3 linked regions of the Daphnia pulex genome follow. The protein of the gene in region 2 purifies or fractionates together with the protein of the main gene of each other region. This does not show direct contact. Links are inferred from orthologs where the notes say so. Each region holds a gene or a part of one and is shown on either strand. Other genes may lie near its edges.

Region 1 (4,356 bases), on a different chromosome or scaffold from region 2:
TTAAATCTTACACCGATTCAAAAGGCGGCTGACCTCAACATCAATCCATTGGCGTATCGCAAACTGGCGCAACAACAAATTCATTATGCGCTTGGAGATACAGGCCGTAGTTTTGTCGTGGGTTTTGGAGTTAATCCGCCGTTGAAACCTCATCATGCGTCCAGGTTTGAATAAAACATTGTGCTTATAAATATGATAGCATTATTATTTTTTAATGTTTTTATTTTTTTTTATGTAGTTCATGTCCGAATAGACCAGCTGTTTGTGATTGGAGCACTTATTCCTCAACTGCACCCAATCCCCAGGTGCTTTATGGAGGTCTAGTTGGTGGTCCAGATAGCAACGACAATTACACGGATGATCGGAGCAATTACGTTACCAACGAAGTAGCTTGCGATTATAACGCCGGCTTCCAAGGATCTGTAGCTGCTTTGCAATCATTGGCTGTCCAAGGTGTTTTCAACTAGAATACAAATTTACAAGATAAGACAGGAATTTGTTACACAACTATATTATATACCTACATTTTAGAAAGTATATTTTACTCTTAATTCTGCATGGTTATCTGCTACAGTACTGCTGATCTTGTTGGTTTTCTTGGAAATGGGATTTATTACTAAAGGTTAAAAAACGCCTGCATTTGTGTGTTCTTGAAAAGTTAAATAAAATTTGGTGATACATTTCTCAAACTATTGGTAACTTTTCAACCGATGCGCATGTCACGAAGAATCGTCTATTAATCTGAAAGAGTATAAGGAAAGTCTGGAATACGTTTGAGTTCGATGTCCTTTTCAAGGTAAAGGTGGTAGCTCGCGTGTTGTTTCATTCAATCTGAAACCTGAATTATGCAACTGCTGAATTCAATAGAAGATGTTGATAAATTGATTTCCACACCTAATTGATTTCCAAGTTCCCAAACATCACAATAGGCTAGTCATTAATCTAGCGTCGAAGTTGATTGGTTTCAAACAAGAACATCTGAAATCCGCACAGGGGGTGATAAACTGATGTATAGAAATCGAAAAATGCAACAAGCGTAACTACGTTTTCCGCGAAGAAACCCGTAAAGAGATTTCGCTGAAATTCCTCGTGCAAAAGAAGTCGTAGTTATCAAGGCTATAGTTCCATCGGGAAAAAAATAAGACAATTTTTAAAAATGTCTAAACAAAAGAATTTTGTGCGTCATCCATATTATAAAATCTACTTGAAACTGGTAGTGTGAGTATGCATTCCATCGAATGGGTCCTGTATTTCCTAATACCAGTGCGTTGCTCAAGTAATTCTTTTCCTCTAAAATGGTTTTAATATGGTGATGGTATTCTTGTTACGCAACTGTATTTTCGTTATTTTTTAATTATTGTGAAGTAATATGCAATAACGTAAAAGAGTTGAGTCTGTGCCGTGTATGCTTTGACCGAATGTAAAGTATAAAAAGGCGAGCGGGACGAACGATGCTGACAGAGAATCCAGCAAACTTACTACCGAGAATGTTGTCTTTATCCGGCTTCATCGTTATTCTTCTTTTCATGCATCTAGCTTCCGGTAAATATTCTTCCGTGTGGTTCCTCATATTTAACATGATTATAGAGTTGAAAAATACACCAATCAAAATAATAAATAGGAGGACCGTGCGATAATGTCGTCACAATTAGCTCATCTTGGCCGGGAGGCTTGACTGCCTCGCTTAATATTTCAATTACGACTCCAATCACTTCATGGGAAATTGACCTGAAATTTTCATCGGCCGTTCCATGGTTAAAGGTATGACACGCTCCTGTTACATCATAGATAGCATTTTTGAATATTTTTATTTTTAAAGGCTTGGGACGCTACAGAGTCTAAGATTAATGAAGTGGAATATCAGCTGAGAAACCTCAGTTCTAACGGAGTTCAGAGCGCTGGGGCTACACTGACGAGTGTCGGTTTTAATGCTTTCTTTAGTTCCAGCACCACACCCATTATTACAAGCGTACTTTTTAACGGAGACAACGTCTGTTTAATTGGTAAGTAACTAAATTATTAATCGTAATAATAGAGAATTTTTGGTTAAATTTTGTTTTTATTATGTCCTTCCAAGACACTAAAACAGAGGCTAGACAACCGATAATAGAAGAAGTAATAAATTTTAATTCTTTGGCATAAAATGGAAAAAGTTGTACTAAATGAAGCAATTTCTAGGAGAACAACCTTTTAGTGGATGCCTGGCCGACTAAATACAATTACCGTGAAGTAATCACCAAATCATTGCTCTTCTACTATGCCCAGCGCTCTGGGCGCTTGCCAGTAAACGATAACCCCATTCCGTATCGTTCAGACTCGGCGCTCAACGATCGTGGACAAGACGGAGAAGATCTCACTGGAGGCTATTACGATGGTAATTTATACTATTATTTGTATTCTATTTTATTCCATCAAAGTATTTGAAATTCTTTACCATATTTATTTAGCTGGAGATCACTTGAAACTCGGTTTTCCTTTAGCCAGTTCTATAACGATAGTGGCTTGGTCGATAATTGATTATCCGCTTGGATATTCTTCCGCAGGTTTTAAAAATTTAAACCAATTTCTCGTTGAATCAGATCACTAAACTTACTGGATTAATTTAAATAATACAGGGAAATTAACAACAGCTCGAAATATGGTCAAGTGGGCGACAGATTACTTTATCAAGGCCCATGTGCAAACTAACAAATTTTATGGGCAAGTGGGCGATGGCGATCTCGATCACGATTACTGGGGACGTCCCGAAGAAATGACCATGAAACGACCGGTATAAAGCCCTGACCCATTATTAAACTCATTTATTTCATCGACTGAAAACTACATTTCTATCGCTTTAGGCTTTTTTTATATCTACCTCAAAACCTGGTAATTTGTTTTTAAATTATATTGTCGTTCAAAGAAATAACACAACATTGCGCACGATAGGGTCTGACTTGGCCGGTGAAACAGCTGCCGCACTTGCCGCAACTTCAATAGTTTTTAAAACAGTCGACAGCACTTACTCAGCTCTTTGCTTGACACATGCAAAGCAATTGTACGATTTTGCTAAACGACATCGAGGAATATACAGCGAGTCCATCCCACAAGTAGCAGATTTTTATTCGTAAAAGCTTTAAATTTAATAAAATTGTTGCGTTTGATGTGTATCCGGTATAATATCACAATTGCCTGTAGGTCAAGTGGTTTCGGTGACGAACTGGCTTGGAGCGCTAGTTGGTTATACCGAGCTACTAACGATAACGCTTACCTCGACGATGCTAAGGCATTTTACACCGATTTCAACCTCTCCGATAATCCATCGGAATTTTCATGGGATACGAAAACTGCCGGAGTACAGGTAAATCAGTTATATTTGTTTAATTATTGTTCCGTTAATGCCATTTAATTCATATAGGTTCTGTTGGCCAAACTGACAAATGAGAACCTCTACAGAAACGCAGCGAAAACTTTCTGTGATTCCAAAGTTGAACAACCGAAGACGCCAAAGGGGCTCCTATTTGTTACCAAGTGGGGATCTTTAGGCGCCGCATCAAATATCGCTTTCATTTGTCTTCAAGTATTTAAAAAAAAAATTATATTCACAATTTTACGCCTGGTGATTAAAAATACGTTAAACTAATATATTAATATATTATTCACTTATTCCGTAGGCTGCCGATCTGAACATCAATCCATTGGCGTATCGCCAACTGGCGCAACAGCAGATTCATTATGCACTTGGAGATACAGGCCGTAGTTTTGTCGTGGGTTTCGGGCACAATCCACCACTGAAGCCACATCATGCGTCCAGGTTCGTGTTTTTAGCTTCTTGTTCATACAATAGATATCCAGAAATATTATACACATTTCTAATTTTTCGTCTTTTTGCAGTTCATGTCCGAATAGGCCCGCCGTTTGCGATTGGGATGCCTTTGATTCACCCAATCCTAATCCCCAGATCCTCTATGGAGCTCTAATTGGTGGCCCAGATAACCAAAATGACCATTACGTAGATGACAGACACAATTTCGTTACGAACGAAGTAGCTTGCGATTATAACGCGGGCTTCCAGGCGTCTGTAGCTGCTCTGCAATCACTGGCTGTTAACGGAATCTTCAACTAGAAGCAGTGCAGGAACATGGAAGATGAGATGAAGAAGATATTTAATATTTTCATCCGCCTTTCGTTTTAGTAATAAATCTTCTCGGTGTTTTTGGTTGTTCGGAATGTGTCAAATAACAATCGGGAAAATTTTTTTGAAAGGGAAAACATAATTATGAGCATTACGAAATTTGGCAACACCGGTGTCGCACTTCAGACGCACATTGCAAAAGTCGAAAACAGACTGCCAACAAATACAAAAGAGCAATACTT
Region 2 (3,646 bases):
TCCGATTGGATGTCTACCGCATATGGTATTGCCGTATTTTTTTAAATATTCGGTGAATCCAGCCGTATCCAGTGTTTCAATGATGGACATACCCTGTTCATTTATGGCACAGTAAATATTAGTAAATGAGAAGGGAAAAACGATTATACTTCTCGATCTAGCCTTTGGATAGACTGGAAAATTTCTCCGCATGCTTTGTCATAGTGGGTGTAACGAAATCGTTGACCCCAGTGGCAAAAATCCGATGAAACGACGAAACAGTTGTTGGGGTCCGCGAGATACTTGGAAAGGAGTCTTCCGTAGTGGGTTTCACGTTCCGGAGACAGCGATCCAACCAAAATTGGGACAATGGTAAAATCTCTGTGACTAAAAAAACAGCAAGATATTTGAAAATGAACAACATTGCAATAATTTGCATGTGAAGAATTCTGATTGCAATAAATTCACATACTTTTCAAAAACTTTGGCAATATAAGGCAGATGCATTTCAATGCTATGCTCATCTTCATCTGTTTCCAGATTCATCCACTCAAAGCAGCCAGTACCCTGTAGTTCTTTATACACTAAAAATAATACAGACTAAATATTTTCCCTTACAAAATTGTGAAATATAAATTTACCCTGTGTATCAATGGTGAGATCATAAAATGGAGTGCGGTATTTGGCTACAGATGAGAGGGCACATCCAGACAGCCTTACATGATGGGAAGGCCCTAGAATAAAGACACGTTTCCTGTTCCAACAACATACACACTGATGGGAAAATAAAAGGTAAAAAAATTTTTGAGGCTTATTTTTACACATTTGTAGGATCAATCTGTTTGTATGCAAAACCTGCACAAGATCCGCAATAACGATAGCCAGCATGCCTGTGGTAAAATAATAAACAGCTTTTGTTAATTTTCGCACAGGAGAGACTTTCACAAATTTATATTTTATTGATAGAAGTAAAAAAAAAATAATCATTTAAAAAACTTACGGTGCAATGATAGCCCTTGCTGGTCCATGTGAGAAATTGGCTGCATCTAGCCACCCATCGAGTTGACGACCAAGTTCCTTAGCTAGGAAAGGGTAAATATGATAAACAACTAAAATATGATGTTTTTCCATTTAAACAAAGGAACAAAGATGTGTCAATATTACCCGAATCAGAATACCAGCTGCCAGCGTGGGATGCTTTTCGTACGGACATGTTAAAAATAACCCTTTTTTACGTAATCTTTAATCTAAAGGATATCACCAGTTCTATTCTCGATTAAAATTATTTAAGAATAGTCCTATTTCCTAACCCACCTAGCAGTGTACCACCACTGTACACAATGCAACCAGCCGTCCTTCTCACACAAGTGATTGAGGATTGGACCATTGGGGGGTGAAAGCAGACCGACCGAAAGCAATCAACGATGCGAAAAATTAACTATTACAGAAATCGAAAATTCCAGGAAAAGTTACATGATTTTTATTTTTAAATTATTTTTTAAAAATCCTGATAGATTTTTTAAAGCTTTTTATAGGCATTAAATCAATTTGAATGAAATTTTAAATCAGTGGCAGCTATCGGCCTATCGCCTGAAAGAATCGAGTTATAACGATGTCAACAAAGAATTGACAGAAGGGCACATGCTGATTTGCTTAGTTATACGTACGTAAGACCATCGTTTAATGCTTGTTGATGAAAACAATATTGGTTTCTTGTGTAATAACGGTGAGTAAAACTTTTAAGAGTGTGAAGCTAGTTTTCGCTGTATATAAAATACTTGTTTTCACCGATTTCAGCTCTTTTTCCAAAATGGATTCAGATGACGACTACATTGTCCAACAGTTCAGCGATGAAGGAGGCATCGATTCGAGCGATGACGATGAAATGGTTATGAAAGAATTTTACAAGCAATCAGAGTCTGGGGGAAAAAAGTCGTTGAAAGATTTTCAGGCTGAAATGAACAAGGAATTGGAGCTTCGTGTGGCAACTTATCTTGAGAAAGAAAAAATTCAAGATCCAACAAAATTTGGGAGTGATGTTAAAACAGAAAGCAAGTCAAGAGATCACTACTTTGACACTGATTCTGAAGAAGATGTCGAAACAGAAGATTCAACAGCTCAAGCACAATCTAATATGGAATTATTTTATGATCCTCAAATGGATCTCAAAGATGAATCCTATGTACAAAAGCAGCGAGACATGTACAGAAAGAAATTCAAGAATCAGGCCAAGCCCAAACTTTTACCTAACAGTGATGCGGTGTTGAACTGCCCTGCATGTTTTACAACTTTATGCCATGACTGTCAGAGGTAATTATACGACCTGCTTTTTAATTAATTACATCATAAGACTTTGCTGAATCTCTTGTATTGACTGAATGTTAACCTTGTAGGCATGAAACTATCAAAACACAGTACAGGGCTATGTTTACTTTTCATTGTCAAGTAGACATGAGTGAGGTGATGAAAATTCCTCTGCAGTCACAGAAAAACCGTTCCAAGAAGACGGCGTCAGATGAACCTACTTTCAGTGGGTCTGAAGATGTTTATCATCCGGTACGGTGTTCCACGTGCAACACACATGTGGCTATGTTTGATAGTGATGAAGTGTATCATTTTTTCAATGTCGTTACGAGTCATTGAATAAAGTCCCGTCTGTTATTATTTTTGTCAGTGTGTTGTTAAACTTGTGTGTGCACTTAAAGTTATTGTAATAAGAAAATCAAGAGTCTTCGAGGACAAAAATTTTGTGTAATCGCCACACATCAAAAGGGGGAGGAGAGGAAGTCACAATTTCTTTTCATGTGAAAAGAAAATAAAATAACGGAAGGGTCAGTGGGCAACGGTTCACACACCCAAAAGTAATATTCCGCACTGTGCGAACAAAACATGGGATTTTTTTAACCAAAAAACTAATTAATGATGTGAAACGCTGTAAAACGGGTGGGAATCAAATGATTAAGAGGAATATTTATTCAAAATAATTCCTGTGTGTCTGTGTTATCCAATCGACTCGGCTACCATCAAACCCCTATCCCAGATCCCTATCGAATTCGAAATTGGAAAAGATTTGCACAAAATAGCCTCAAAAAAGGGGAAAACGCAAAAGCATCAACAGTATGGGGGGAACGAAAAATTATACCCACAAAGAAAAACGCGAAAGAAGACGAGACCCAAAAATCAATGCACAAAGATTGAAAAAACGGGAAAGGGAGGAAGTCCACGTCTATTAATTTTTTTTAAGTGGACAAAATTGGTTGTGTTTTATCGAGGAAAGAGGTTGGGCGGATATAACACACCACAAAGAATTTGAAAATAATTTGGTTGTTTCTAGGGCTCGAAGATGAATGTGTCTCAGTCATCGAACGGATGGATTTTTCTAATTTATGGGATAAAAGTTCGGAGGGGAGGAGGAATACAATGAAGAAAAACATTCAAAAATAGAATGAAGAAAACTGGCCGACTCCAAACATAAAAAATTCTTCCTGCTTTTTTTTTCACACTCGGCAGATTCATCTAGAATACTAATTCTATCAAAGAATGATGGGCTTCTTTTTCTGCCATTCTCTCACACCACTACCCAGCTCAGCCGTTGCTCGATTTTGTGTACAGATGGTTCAAAAACAACGAAAATTTAAGGGATGAAAAAGAGCAAAACTAGACACAA
Region 3 (3,652 bases), about 2.4 Mb from region 2:
CAACATGTATAAAATTCTACGTATTTCACTTACCCCGCCAATTTGGCTTTTCAATGTTCCCCGCGGAGTCGCCGCTGAAGTAAGGACTTCGTTATGCACCATTGATGCGGAAACTGCGTAATGGCATCCTTCAAACTTACTCAACTGTATTATCATCAAATCCGTTGAGAACTCGATGATTGGACATTTTGGTATGTTGGCAAACAATTTAACGATACTCAAATTCATTAGAACTACTTCAAAAAGCCAAAAGAATAAAAATAATGGCCAGACGCGAATTAAAATAGCTTGTACCTTGCCCTTTTGACTCCACATTTGTGCGCATACAACAACTTAGCAAAAAAAAAAGGTATTTTTAAAATCTGGAACAAGGATACGGGCTGGAGGCAAACCGTGACTTGCGTGGGTACGAGTAATTTGACCCCACGAGTCGTTCCGTTTGTATCGACTTAATTTACAAGACGTGCTCAGTGTGAATCCTCGTGTATCTTTCAAATGGCAGCTATAACGCCAAAAGACATGGAAGAACGCAAAGAAGGCGAATACATAAATCCGAAATGTATTAGGAATGGAGCTGGAAATGGAAAAAAAAAAAAAAAGTCCCGTTATACAAACCACCTCCACCGAGCGTTGTGTATCACAGAGGGATAGCAGCGACTGGCTTTTGAGAAATGTGTCAGATTCGAAAAGGTGAGGGACCGAATTTTTTAAAGAAAAAAAAAACCGGAAGTTTTTATCAAAAGACGAATCATAATAATAAATTAAACCTCAAATCACCCAATCGCATGGGTAAGAGGAAATAGGGCGGATGAAAAGACATCGATAATAATTACATAGGGAAAGAGTGAAGAGAAAAAGAGGAGAAAAACAAACGTAAGGTCACAATCTTCAGTCGGTTTGTTTTTTACTGGCTGATACCTGGCTCCGAGAAAGATTCAATTGATTCAACAAAATAGATGCAGGACCAGGACCACCACGCTGCATTGTGTAGGAAGCAAGAAGGGATTCAAGAGCAGCAGAATCAATTTTTACGGGTTGAAAGTTTTCCACATCGCTGAAACTCTCACAACCTTCGCTCATGACGGATTCCTGGAAACGAATTCGATGGCTTATTACCAATTGTTTGTTAATTCCACACACACAAAAATTTACCTTGCGAGTAGGGTTGTCTACGGAAGTACGATGAACATCCGTGGTTAACAATTCTTGATCCATTGTTTGCATGTATTTGTTCATCTCCTTGTCTACCAACTCGTCGCCTTCTTCCTCTTCACTGTAGCTGCTCAAACAAGAAGAATTTGATTCCAAATCCCAATTGTCTTCTGGCAGAGCGAAATCTACAAAAGATTTTTTTTTTATTATTTTCAAAGTCCAACAAATTTACAAGAAATTGACGTACCAAGAATCCCTTGCATTGCGGATGCAAAACTATCTGGATCGAAACCAATGTTGGTAGAAAGTTGGGAAGCGTCAGAGGCGTTTGAGAGCGTTGACGTCTTCCTTGAAGGCGGAGCTAGGTGAGAAAGCTTTCTGGATTTCTTCCTGCCGTTGGCCGGCGTAAGACCTTCATAATCTGACGTCCGATTGAGGAAGGTTTCAAGTTTAGGCAAGATATCGGCCTTGGCCTCGTCATCATCATCGACTCCCAACAAACTAAATTTGTCGCCGAGAATTTGATCAAGGGTGGCAGGATCAACAGATAGCCAGGAGTCATCTGTATTGAATAACAACGAAACATGAGTTGCAGTTCTACCAACGTCTTACAAGTGAAACCTTACCGTCATCCGCAGGTAAATGGGATTCTACTTTCTTGAATTTGTCGACATCGGCACAAACAGATTGCATCAGTCTTAAAATGACAGGTTTCTTTGCCGGTCCTTCTACTCCCACACTATTGATGTAAAATTCTCGAGCTTTTTCCATAAGCTCATTATGTGGTTTAGAACCATCGAGGAAATCCTAAAAGAACAAACAGAAATAAAAACACAAATTACTTTGTAAATTTGACAAAATAACTTTCAGTGAAATTTACCTGGAAAAATCCTTTTTCTTTCAGTGTGTTTAGGAATCGATTCCAACGTGAATCCATGTCCAAAGAATAATCGTCGTCTTTTTGGTGTAAGGATTCCTCGTTAGCCAGTAATTCAAATCCAATAGCCTGAAATGATTTGAAAACATAAATAAATTCAAAACAGAAAAGACAAAATCAGATAAAAGAAATTGCGTACAAGTTTCATGCCAAGGTCTGAACCCGTTCGTTTGGAATCGCCAATCGGTGGTAAAGACCAGCCAGTCCTGTGATCTGGCTGGTAGTTACGGTGAACAAGCATAGCATAAAGACATTTTGTGAATGTCACTGACGTCCATACTCGAGTTTCTGGGGGAAAGAAACGCATGGCGCGGATAACCTACGTTACATAACGGGGGGAACAAAATAATTGATTAAACCTTGCCTTCGGGAGCTCGGGTTTGAGCTGACATTTTAACCAGACACTTTTTAAATACCTGCAGTTGAGAGGCATCGCGCTGACAGAATGCATGAATAGCTGGTGCTACAAGAGTCGGATAGGATTGCAGCAAAGCGGCAACACCAGCAGGCACGAATACATTGCAACGGTGAAGACTGGAATCGATTTGAGATACGCACCTGAATTAGTTGAAAGAAAAAACACACACACAAAAAAAAAACCAGGGGAGTTGTCCCCATTACGAAATGGCCTTAAACTCGAAAACAAAATTAGAAATTTCAAATTTACTTGTCAATGCGCTGGTGGATTGGCTCTTGAATGGGAGCGGGTGCTATGGTCAAGTGCGGCATGGAACGAACAATGTGAACAGCGTCCATCAGAGAAGGCTGGCCTGACGGTAAAGGAGTGATACTAGAGGGACGATCAGCTATACTGATTATATGAACTTGACCACCATGGATAAAAACCTGTAATTTTCAGAGTGATAAAATTATAACTTTGTCAAGGAATTCCAAAAAAAAGAGTTAAGCGAATAAACTTACCCTGTTGATGCAAGTTTCTGGGTTGGCCCAACGCGGAAGACTATCGGCAGCTTCAACCAGCAAGAATTCACCATCTGAATCAACAATTCTGTGATGGGGAGAAGAAGAAAAACAAAACAAACAAACAACAAAACTGGTTAGAATATCAATTGTCTAGACCATCCGGTTAAATCACTAATTCAATTATATCCGCAGAAACGGCGGACCACTGGCGCGATGCTTAGTGTAATTGATTGAAAAAGTTGGAGATGCCAAAAATAGTCGCTTACCAATTCACAAGGTTTTTTTCTAAAATAGATTAACTGCGAGTGCGGCAAAGCCAGCAGTTGCACAATTTAGAGCATGTTGGTGACATGTTGGAATTGGGTAAGTAATCAACGGCGATTCACGAAAACAATTTATCGCTTGTAGGGGACAGGAAAAAGACTTCCTGACGAGAGAGTGCAAGCGAATATAAAAATAGCACAGAGGCGGCGATGTGGCAAAGAAGTGGGGAAAAGAAAAACAGGAGAGATAGAGAGGAGAGAGAGAAATGGAGAGCTCCTGTTGTGTCTACGTGAATGGAAGTTCGGCGGACAACTGAGGACTTCAGGTGGACCCGCACCTTCCTTTAGAGTTGCCTTTGAGTAGTGTGTCCAGGGC

The links.
Region 1: the proteins of E2F-associated phosphoprotein-like (region 2) and pre-mRNA-processing factor 6-like purify together in Homo sapiens (affinity purification with mass spectrometry; 3 studies listed by BioGRID and IntAct, with this or other methods). This does not show direct contact. The link is inferred for Daphnia pulex from reciprocal best matches to the Homo sapiens genes EAPP and PRPF6.
Region 3: the proteins of E2F-associated phosphoprotein-like (region 2) and protein ecdysoneless-like purify together in Homo sapiens (affinity purification with mass spectrometry; 3 studies listed by BioGRID and IntAct, counting the BioPlex papers as one, with this or other methods). This does not show direct contact. The link is inferred for Daphnia pulex from reciprocal best matches to the Homo sapiens genes EAPP and ECD.

Annotation. Positions count from the first base shown.
Region 1 is NC_060027.1:3,689,135-3,693,490, reverse strand, and holds the start of pre-mRNA-processing factor 6-like, read left to right. Parts: upstream 1-1,439; 5' UTR 1,440-1,451; coding exon 1,452-1,542; intron 1,543-1,621; coding exon 1,622-1,761; intron 1,762-1,819; coding exon 1,820-2,003; intron 2,004-2,077; coding exon 2,078-2,115; intron 2,116-2,178; coding exon 2,179-2,374; intron 2,375-2,447; coding exon 2,448-2,543; intron 2,544-2,615; coding exon 2,616-2,770; intron 2,771-2,840; coding exon 2,841-2,868; intron 2,869-2,928; coding exon 2,929-3,106; intron 3,107-3,177; coding exon 3,178-3,340; intron 3,341-3,397; coding exon 3,398-3,559; intron 3,560-3,653; coding exon 3,654-3,793; intron 3,794-3,873; coding exon 3,874-4,024; intron 4,025-4,356. Other genes in the region: endoglucanase 12-like, read left to right, coding at 25-164, 239-467. UniProt on the Homo sapiens protein: Involved in pre-mRNA splicing as component of the U4/U6-U5 tri-snRNP complex, one of the building blocks of the spliceosome.
Region 2 is NC_060018.1:7,627,974-7,631,619, reverse strand, and holds E2F-associated phosphoprotein-like, read left to right. Parts: upstream 1-1,560; 5' UTR 1,561-1,705; intron 1,706-1,776; 5' UTR 1,777-1,789; coding exon 1,790-2,289; intron 2,290-2,372; coding exon 2,373-2,622; 3' UTR 2,623-3,059; downstream 3,060-3,646. Other genes in the region: protein MEMO1-like, read right to left, coding at 1-93, 150-366, 452-563, 621-733, 801-869, 980-1,061, 1,144-1,192. UniProt on the Homo sapiens protein: May play an important role in the fine-tuning of both major E2F1 activities, the regulation of the cell-cycle and the induction of apoptosis. Promotes S-phase entry, and inhibits p14(ARP) expression.
Region 3 is NC_060018.1:5,231,261-5,234,912, reverse strand, and holds the end of protein ecdysoneless-like, read right to left. Parts: intron 3,099-3,652; coding exon 3,011-3,098; intron 2,936-3,010; coding exon 2,757-2,935; intron 2,648-2,756; coding exon 2,506-2,647; intron 2,409-2,505; coding exon 2,229-2,408; intron 2,159-2,228; coding exon 2,033-2,158; intron 1,960-2,032; coding exon 1,779-1,959; intron 1,715-1,778; coding exon 1,400-1,714; intron 1,338-1,399; coding exon 1,153-1,337; intron 1,090-1,152; coding exon 889-1,089; 3' UTR 468-888; downstream 1-467. UniProt on the Homo sapiens protein: Regulator of p53/TP53 stability and function. Inhibits MDM2-mediated degradation of p53/TP53 possibly by cooperating in part with TXNIP. May be involved transcriptional regulation. In vitro has intrinsic transactivation activity enhanced by EP300.